Linked DNA regions of Coturnix japonica. Each later gene encodes a partner of the first gene's protein in a complex. Links are inferred from orthologs where the notes say so. Each region holds a gene or a part of one and is shown in the gene's direction. Other genes may lie near its edges. The genes, in order: FNIP1 and LAMTOR2.

Region 1 (4,528 bases):
GGAATGCCACTGGGGTATGTATGTGTACCAGCTGCAGCGTAAAGCCCTTGTATGCAGATGGTTCTGTTTGTTAGTTCTCTAAACCTCAGTCTCTGGGCTGGGTTTGGAGTCTGAGGCGACTCATACTGAATGGGCAGATAAGTTGAAATTCATGTTTTTCATGCAGGTGTGAGGATTTGTGGAAAAACCCGTGGGGAGGTTTTTCAGGAAAATGGGTGGTGAAACATATTTCATTCTTTTCTCTCTTCCTATCCATCCTCCCCTCTGCTCTCTTGGTTAAGGTGTGTTAACAAATCTTGCCTGATTCCCATGCTGTTAACTTTGGAGCTTTGGAACAGACTCACCTCTAAATGGGCTCTGACAACTTGGTTTTGAATCCACTTGACGTTAGCTCAGTCTTCAGTGCTGTTAACTGTGAAGCTGTTGAAAGCTCAGCTGTATTTCCTGGGCAAAATCTACTGTTTTATAGTATTCTGTACTTGGAGATCTCATCTGAAACTGTATTTATGTGCCCAGTTTGAAGGCTTTCACATGGTGAAGGGATATAGAGAGCTCTCCTTAGTGAGCCTGTGGCACACAGGTGTGTCCTCCATCCAGAATAAGGGGGAAGGATGCATCTGAACATTGGTTCCTGCTTTCTGTTACAAGCATCAACTTCTAGCGGATGAAAACCAGAGATCCTGCAGGTGGTTGTGTATCTTATGCACAAAATATCCTTGTTTAAAAGCATTTCTAATGTAACATTATGTCACATGCTGACTTAGTTTAATTCCATTTTCCAGGGAAAGCAGATGAGTCAGTTCTATTTAATCAGTTCCTAATTATTTTCACTTTCTGCTAGTCTTGTATCTTAACAAGTGAGACAGTGAAGGAGGCTGTTAACTGGACCCATTGGTTTAAACCTAATAAATGCTTCTGCAAAAAATGCTCCCTTTGGCTTGTGTTTGGTCTGGATTCACATGTGGGTTATGTGTGGGTTACTATGTCCTAAATGCGTTTGGCAGATGGATGTTTTATGGGTACGATGGCTTCCCCTGCACACAGCACACGTGGCTGCCTTCCTTCCTCCCAGCTTGGAGTGCTATTTCTGTCTGTGCTGGGGGAGCCCCCCACCCTGAGCAGGCCTGGATGAGATGAAAGGTGGGAGGAGATGAGTTTGTTCTTTATTTCCAACCCCAAAGCTTGACCTGTCCGAGGAGATCAAACTGAAACCTGTTTCCACTTTCAAGGAAAAGTTTCTTAAGTGCTGCAGGTTGGATGTAAGATAGAGTTACTTCTCTCAAAGAGCAGCTGAGCACCGGCACAGGCCGCCGTCCCTGAACTGTTCCGGAGCGGGGCGACGTGGCACGGGGGCACACGGGCAGTGGTACGGTAGGTAGGTAGGTAGGTAGGTAGGTAGGTAGGTAGGTAGGTAGGTGGGTGGGTAGGTGGGTGGGTGTGGGTCCCGGCGGTGTTTCCCGACCGAGGCTGTTCCACGGGCTCTCGGCCCCTCGTGGCCTTTCCCGTGCAGCAGGAGGAGCCCGGCCCCGCTCCGCCCCGCTCCGCCGCTCCCCGGCCCCTCTCTCCGCTCCCCACCCGGGGGCTGCGGGCTCCGCTTCCCCCTCGCCCTGCCCACGTGGGGCCTCAGCCACTCAGCGTCCCACGCAGCGCCCCGCCGGGCCCGCCCCGCCGGCCCTCCCCTTCTGGCAGCGCCGAGTGACTAATTTTTGTCATATGACTGTGACACCGAATGGAGTCGGGCGGGCGGAACTAGCCGCGGCGCGGGGACGGCGCTGCTCGGAGCCCGGCGGCGGGGGGCAGCGGCGGCGGCTCCCCAAGATGCCGCCCACCCTGTTCCAGAAGCTCTTCAACAAGAAGCACGGCCTCAGCTCCCCGGCCAGGGACGCGAGAGACGACTGCGTCTTCAGGTAACGCGGCGCCGGGGCCGCCCTCCTTCCCCCCCGCCCCGAGCTCGGGCTCCCGCTCCGCCGTAGGGGCCGTGCGGGGCCGGGCAGCGCCTCTTCCCCGCCGCTCCTCCGCCATCCGCCGCCGGGCTCTGCCCCTCACGGCGGCCCGGCCCCGCCGCCCTCCTTATGGCCCCCGGGGCGGCCCTGCGGGGGCTCCCGACGTTCCCTCGGGGGATGCTCGGGGCCGGGAAGGGGGGAGGATGGTGAGGGAGGCCGGCGCCATGCCGCTCGTCACGGGGCTGCGAGCCGGGAGGGAGCGACCTTAAAAACGTGAAGAAAAAGGAGGAGAAAACGTTAAGTCGCTGCCAAGAGAGGTGTAGGGTTACTGGTGAAATCTGTCACGATCTCACCGCGACGGCGCTGGGTCCTCGGTCGCAGCAGTGGGGCTGAGGAGGGGCGGTGGGATCCACCCGGAGCTCCGTTCGGGGCCGTCGTGTGGGAACGACTCGGTTTCTGGGCTTTAAAATAGAGCACCCCGCACTGGGAAGCCACGCAGCCCCCTCTTGGCTGGAGGGACAGAAGGTGGCCCTGAGAAATAGTTTTAAAGTGCAAAGTTTGCAGTTTGAGTGTGGACCGAACGTTGTGCGAGGCGCTGCTCCCATCTGCTGCCCTGACAGCCCCACCGGGAAGGGGACACCTGAGTGCACGTGGGGATGTGATTCCTGCACCCGCTGCTTCGGGCGGCTCGTGGTGCTTGTGCTGTTGTCGGAGCATCGCGGTGGTCACAGAGCCCTTGTGTGGTCAGCACGCAGCTTGGGCAGCACCTGAAGGCTGGTGCTGCAACTCATAGAGCTGCCTTCTGGAGATGCTGCTCTCCTCTCTCTCCTGGCTGTGGTAGTGGCTCCTTTAAAATATACGTACTTTAGGAGACAAAGCTTTTTAACGATGTCCGTATCATCTGATTCTCTAACTTAGCTTATTTCTGAGGTCAGGCTCCTTGCTGGGGAAGGGACACCAGGGCTGCAGACCCCAGGCAGAAGCATGTGGATCACAAAGCAAAAGCTCTGCTGGGAGATGCCTCTTCTTCCTTCTCAACTCACAGCGTGCCAAACTGCATGTGGACGTTGAAGATATGTCACGCTGTCTGCTCTGCCCTCCTCCACTCACGTAGTGCTGCTTCACCGTGTCATGGGAACCGTCAGCTGCTGGTAGATGCGCAGTTGTTCACTTGGTGCTGATGGTTGAGGTGTAGGATGGGGCTGTGATTCCAAGAGCCAAGTGCTGGATTTCAATGGCCTGTAGGCACATTGCCTAGTGGCTTCTTTTGCTTTCCAACTGGGGATAAGTCTGGAGTTAATCCTCACTACACATGGCCGCGTTGGTTGTGGGCAAAACTTATGGAGAATACACAAAATACTGTTATTTATGATAGCTGGGTTTTGGAGCCTGGAAACCAGTTTTTGTCTGCTTCTGTGCTTCTAGTAAGTACCGGGGCATCAGTGTCATTGCCTTCAGTGATACAAGTGTATCTTCATGGATACTTCATGTTACTATTGGTTTATATTCTCAGTAAGGAAACCTTTTCCAAGTATACCGCGTGCTGTTGCTGTTGATTGCCTTCTCGTTGGTCCTCTTAGCGAGAAACTGTGTAGAAAATACCTTACAATTATATAAATTCACTTAATATATTTAGGGGTTGATAAGGAGAGAGAAAAGTCCAGCTTCTATGGCAGTGACATCTGTATAGCAAGTGGTTTTAGGATTATTTTAATGCTTTTTTTCCTCTCTTTGACCATATTCTGCCTTTCCTTCAGACTTATTGTGAACGTTTACTAAAGCGTAAGTTCTACTGATCTCAGCTTATGTTGTTTCAACAATAACAGAAATTACCTTTTCCTCTGGAAGCTTTTCCTTATTACTTTTCTTTCTCCTGCCCAGAATCCTTTTGTCTCAGGTGGGGATGTGACACGTTGAGGCTGAGTGCAGCAGCACTTCAGAAGCAGGTGTGGAGAGGCTGCCCCTTCCAGGGAGGTGCCCAGTAAGTCAGCAGCTGCAAAGCATTTGCTGATGTCTCACTTTGTTTGGTTTTTCTTTCCCCTGTATGTGAGAAGCAGCTTTAAGATCCACTACATATTGGTATTTTAACCTGTCAGCTTAACTGGTGACAGTCAGCAGAGCTGATCTTCAGACTGCACTCTCCCCGTGCAGCCAGGTGTTTGTAGCAAGAGCAAAAACATTCCATGCTTTTATAGTAAAATATGTTTACAAGAAACACCTGCATGTATTCCAGAGCAGAGACAACCCTTAAGCTCTAAGGTGTCGAGTACCAGCTGTCTGCTGCAAATAATACTCACGTGAGTGGATTTTCCCCAAGGGTAACTTCTGCTATAAATAGGATCCTTGGCCATGCTGTGCATCTGGTGGTGGCCTGCTCGTGGCAGGAGGCAGGGCAGGCCAAGCAGGACCTTGCCAGCCCTGTGCTCCTACCATCACCAGGGATGTGGCACTGCAGGTGTGTGTGGAATCAAAGCATTCCAAACTGCGCTCAGTAGGATGAGTCCAGAGCTCAGTGAATTGCTCTCAAGCTTTATGGCTTTGTTCTTATGTCACTTCTTGTTAAATATGTGCATGTATTTCCAATG
Region 2 (3,667 bases), on another chromosome or scaffold:
GAAAAGGGCACAGTCCTTTATCAGCCAATGGATGTAAACTAGGTCTTCTATTCCTGTGACTATCCACAGCACCCACTGCCAACATCTCTGCTGTGTGATGGGGAGGGACCAGCACCTGCCAATAAGATTGTCACCGCCAGCTCAGCTGGGGCGTCCCCGAGTCAATAGGTGAGAATAGAAACCTTTGCATTTGGAAGCCACAGAGTTCAGGAAATCCACATGGAAAGGCTGGGAGCAGAAGATCACAGCTTTCCTGGGGCAGCTCGCTGCCATGGTCCAGAACTCCCGAAAAACTGGGCCTGGGAGGACGGACCCCTGGCACTGAAGTGACCCAGGGCGTGAAGCTTCACCCGCTGCTCTGCACGCTGACAGCACAGGGCTGGGAAGCAGCAGGGCCACGCACAGCACACAGCTCCTGCCCAGCTCCCAGCACACGCTGCAACCTCGTGCCCTGAAGCCCACATCAAAGTACACAGCAAAACACACACACAGCCAAGATCCACAGCACTGACACCACTCTGCCCCGGCGGGCACTGCCACCTGCACAACGCTTCTTGTGAACCCTCTGCTGCCCTGCAAACACACAGTGCCCCTGTGGAGCTCCCTGCTCACAGCAAACCCACATGTCTGACGTCCCCTTCCCTCTGCTTCACTCTCCCTCTGCCCCAAAGGCAGAAATGAAAGGTCTGAGAAGGACGGACAGAGCAGCCTCTGGCCTCAGCCCCACCGCACACATCCACTGCCCCACAGCTCCCCGCAGCCCAGCCCCAGGGCCGCGTCCCATCACAGCACCCACCCGCTGCCTCTCAGCTCCCCAAGCTGCAGCTCCCGCTGCTCTTCCAGCAGCTCCTGCCAGCCCCGGAGCCGCGCCCCCATGTGCCCTGACCTGAGGCATCTCCGGGCCCTAAGGGAGAAGATCCCTGATCCCTCCAGGCCCAGCCGCCCCACGCAGCGCCTCCCCGCTGTCCCACAACACCCCCACTACCAGCAGCACAACCCCCGGGCCGTGCCCCTCACACCCCCCCCAGCCCGCAGACCCCTCCCGGCCCCCCCTTCCCGTTCCCACCGGCACATCCCGCCCCCCCCTCCCGCACCGCCCCGACAACGCCCCGTTCTCGCCCCCCGGCGGGTTCCAGCCCCTCGGCTCCCGCACAACACACGCCGTCACTCCGCTGCAGCCCAACCCCGGCCCCACGCCCCCCATGGCCGGGGAGGCCCCAGCTCCGCTCAGCCCAGCTCCGCTCCCGCCCCTCACAACCTTCCCCCCCCCGGCTCCTCACACCCCCGAGGTTCCTCCCTCCAATTCTCGCCCAACCCCTCCCGCCACCTTCCCGCTCCGCACCCTCCTCGGTCTCGCGGCCCGTGTCTCCCGCGGCCCCTCGCAGCGCTCAGGCCTAGGCCCCGTCCTCCGTCCCGTCCCCACCTCGCGCACGGAGGCGCCGTCGGCGATGACGATCTCCTCCTTGTCCTTGGGGGTCTTCACCGTGACGCGGATGAGCGCCCCGCCGGGACCTCCCAGCTCCGACCCGCCGGGGCCCGGCCCGCCGCCGCCACTCGGCTCCGCCATCTTCGCCGCCCGCCCCGCCAGCCCTGGCCGACAGAGAAAGGCCGGGACAGAGCGCCGCCACGGCCCGCGCCGCAGCACAGCGCCCCCTGGCGGCGGGGAGGATCGAGAGGCGACGGAACCGGAACCGGAACGGAGCGCGGAACCGCCCCGAACGGAACCGAACGGCAGCAAACACCGAACGGGGGCGGCCTACACCGGGAACGGGCCCCGCGCCCCGCGCTGCCTGCCATGCTGCGGCCCAAAGCGCTGACGCAGGTGCTGAGCCAGGCCAACACCGGCGGCGTCCAGAGCACGTTGTGAGCGGGGACGGGGCCGGGGGCGGTGCGACCGTACGGTCATTGCGGTGTGATGTGACCGTACCGTCACGGCGGGGCTCGGCCCGGAGCTGACCGTTCCCCGCTCCGTTGCAGGCTGCTGAACAATGAGGGCTCGCTCTTGGCCTACTCGGGATACGGAGACACGGACGCCCGCGTGACCGCGGCCATCGCCAGCAACATCTGGGTGGCCTACGACAAGAACGGGCACCACGCGTTCAACGAGGACAACCTGCGCTTCATCCTCATGGACTGCATGGTACGGAACGGCTGCGGGACCCCACGGGATCCATGCGGGACCCCCGGTGTGCGGGACCCACAGCAGCACCCACAGTGGGATCCGAGGTGTTCAGCAGCAGCTTCTGTGTGGGAGCCCAAGGGGTCCGTGTGAACCCCATAAATCTCAATGTGACCCCATAAATCTCAGTGTGACCCCATAAATCCCAATGTGACCCCATAAATCTCAGTGTGACCCCATAAATCTCAGTGTGACCCCATAAATCTCAGTGTGACCCCATAAATCCCAATGTGACCCCATAAATCTCAATGTGACCCCATAAATCCCACTGTGACCCCATAAATCCCACTGTGACCCCATAAATCCCGCTGTGACCCCCTGAATCTCCGTGTGACCCCGGTTCTCTCCGGCAGGAGGGGCGCGTGGCCATCACCCGCGTGGCGAACCTCCTGCTGTGCATGTACGCCAAGGAGACGGTGGGATTTGGGATGCTGAAAGCCAAGGTGAGGGGATGGGGGTGAGGGGATGGGGGTGAGGGGGTGGGGGGCTGCATTACGGTGAGGTGTGAAAGAGCCACGGGGTTAAAGCCGGGAGGAAGAGGATGGGAGAGATGGGGGAGGAATTGCAATCAAAATGGGAACTGTCTGCGTGGGTCCCAGATTGGTGCTGGGGTGGGACGGGGGTTTGCCCACAGAATGTGGGCGCTGGGGGCTGCACCCCTCACCACCATCCCTGCCCCAGGCACAGGCGCTGGTGCAATACCTGGAGGAGCCGCTGACGCAGGTGGCCGCATCCTGAGCTGCATCTGAGCTGCATCCTGAGCATGGAACCGCGCTGCCACGGCTGAGAGCAGCGCCTGCACGGGGGGAACCGTGTTGTGAGCCCGGCTGTGCTGCTGGGCAGCAGGGGAGGGGAAATAAAGCCACGTGTGGTGCTCGTGTCCTGAGTGTCTGTCAGATCAGTGCAGGGTGGAAGGGTGGGACGGGGTCAGCCGTGCACCCAGCCAGGGGTCTGTGGTGCAGCTGGGAGCGTTGTGCTGTCCCTGCTGGGGCTGCTTCCCCCACGTTCCCATCTCTCTGTGCTGGCAGCAGAGGTGCAGGCGGCCGTTGGTGCCCGGCCAGCTCCATGCTGAGCCCAGGGCCCCAGTGCCCCAGGCTGCCCCGCGCCGCGTGGCCTTGGCAGCCAGGACCGGGCCCGGCTCCTCCTCCAGGTGCCCCGTGACGGTTCCAGGGGTGACATTACCTGCCCAACCTGCGCTGCCGCTCCCAGCCTGCACTCAGCCGCCCTGGGCCTCCCTGCGCCGCCCGCGTCGCCTTCACTCCCCGACCGCGCTCCCTCCTGGGACCCCCCTCACTGCTGGGACCCCCCTCACACCCCGACACAGAGGAGACTTTGCCCCCCTCACCACCCCCTGCAGCCCGCCCCGCTCTGAGCTCTGCGGAGGGAAGGAGGAAACCGGGCGGCAGCCGGGAGATATGAGCAGCACTGAGGACGACTACAACTTTGTTTTTAAAGGTGAGGGGGGCCCAGAAGGACGGGATGGGACGA

What was found.
Region 2: FNIP1 (region 1) and LAMTOR2 share a complex: the UniProt entries of both Homo sapiens proteins name them as parts of the lysosomal folliculin complex. The link is inferred for Coturnix japonica from reciprocal best matches to the Homo sapiens genes FNIP1 and LAMTOR2.

What each region holds. Positions count from the first base shown.
Region 1 is NC_029528.1:1,524,591-1,529,118, forward strand, and holds the start of FNIP1 (folliculin-interacting protein 1), read left to right. Parts: upstream 1-1,696; 5' UTR 1,697-1,713; coding exon 1,714-1,907; intron 1,908-4,528. UniProt on the Homo sapiens protein: Binding partner of the GTPase-activating protein FLCN: involved in the cellular response to amino acid availability by regulating the non-canonical mTORC1 signaling cascade controlling the MiT/TFE factors TFEB and TFE3.
Region 2 is NC_029540.1:79,170-82,836, forward strand, and holds LAMTOR2 (ragulator complex protein LAMTOR2), read left to right. Parts: upstream 1-1,671; 5' UTR 1,672-1,795; coding exon 1,796-1,863; intron 1,864-1,977; coding exon 1,978-2,140; intron 2,141-2,532; coding exon 2,533-2,622; intron 2,623-2,860; coding exon 2,861-2,917; 3' UTR 2,918-3,059; downstream 3,060-3,667. Other genes in the region: UBQLN4 (ubiquilin-4), read right to left, coding at 1,424-1,567; RAB25 (ras-related protein Rab-25), read left to right, coding at 3,595-3,634. UniProt on the Homo sapiens protein: As part of the Ragulator complex it is involved in amino acid sensing and activation of mTORC1, a signaling complex promoting cell growth in response to growth factors, energy levels, and amino acids.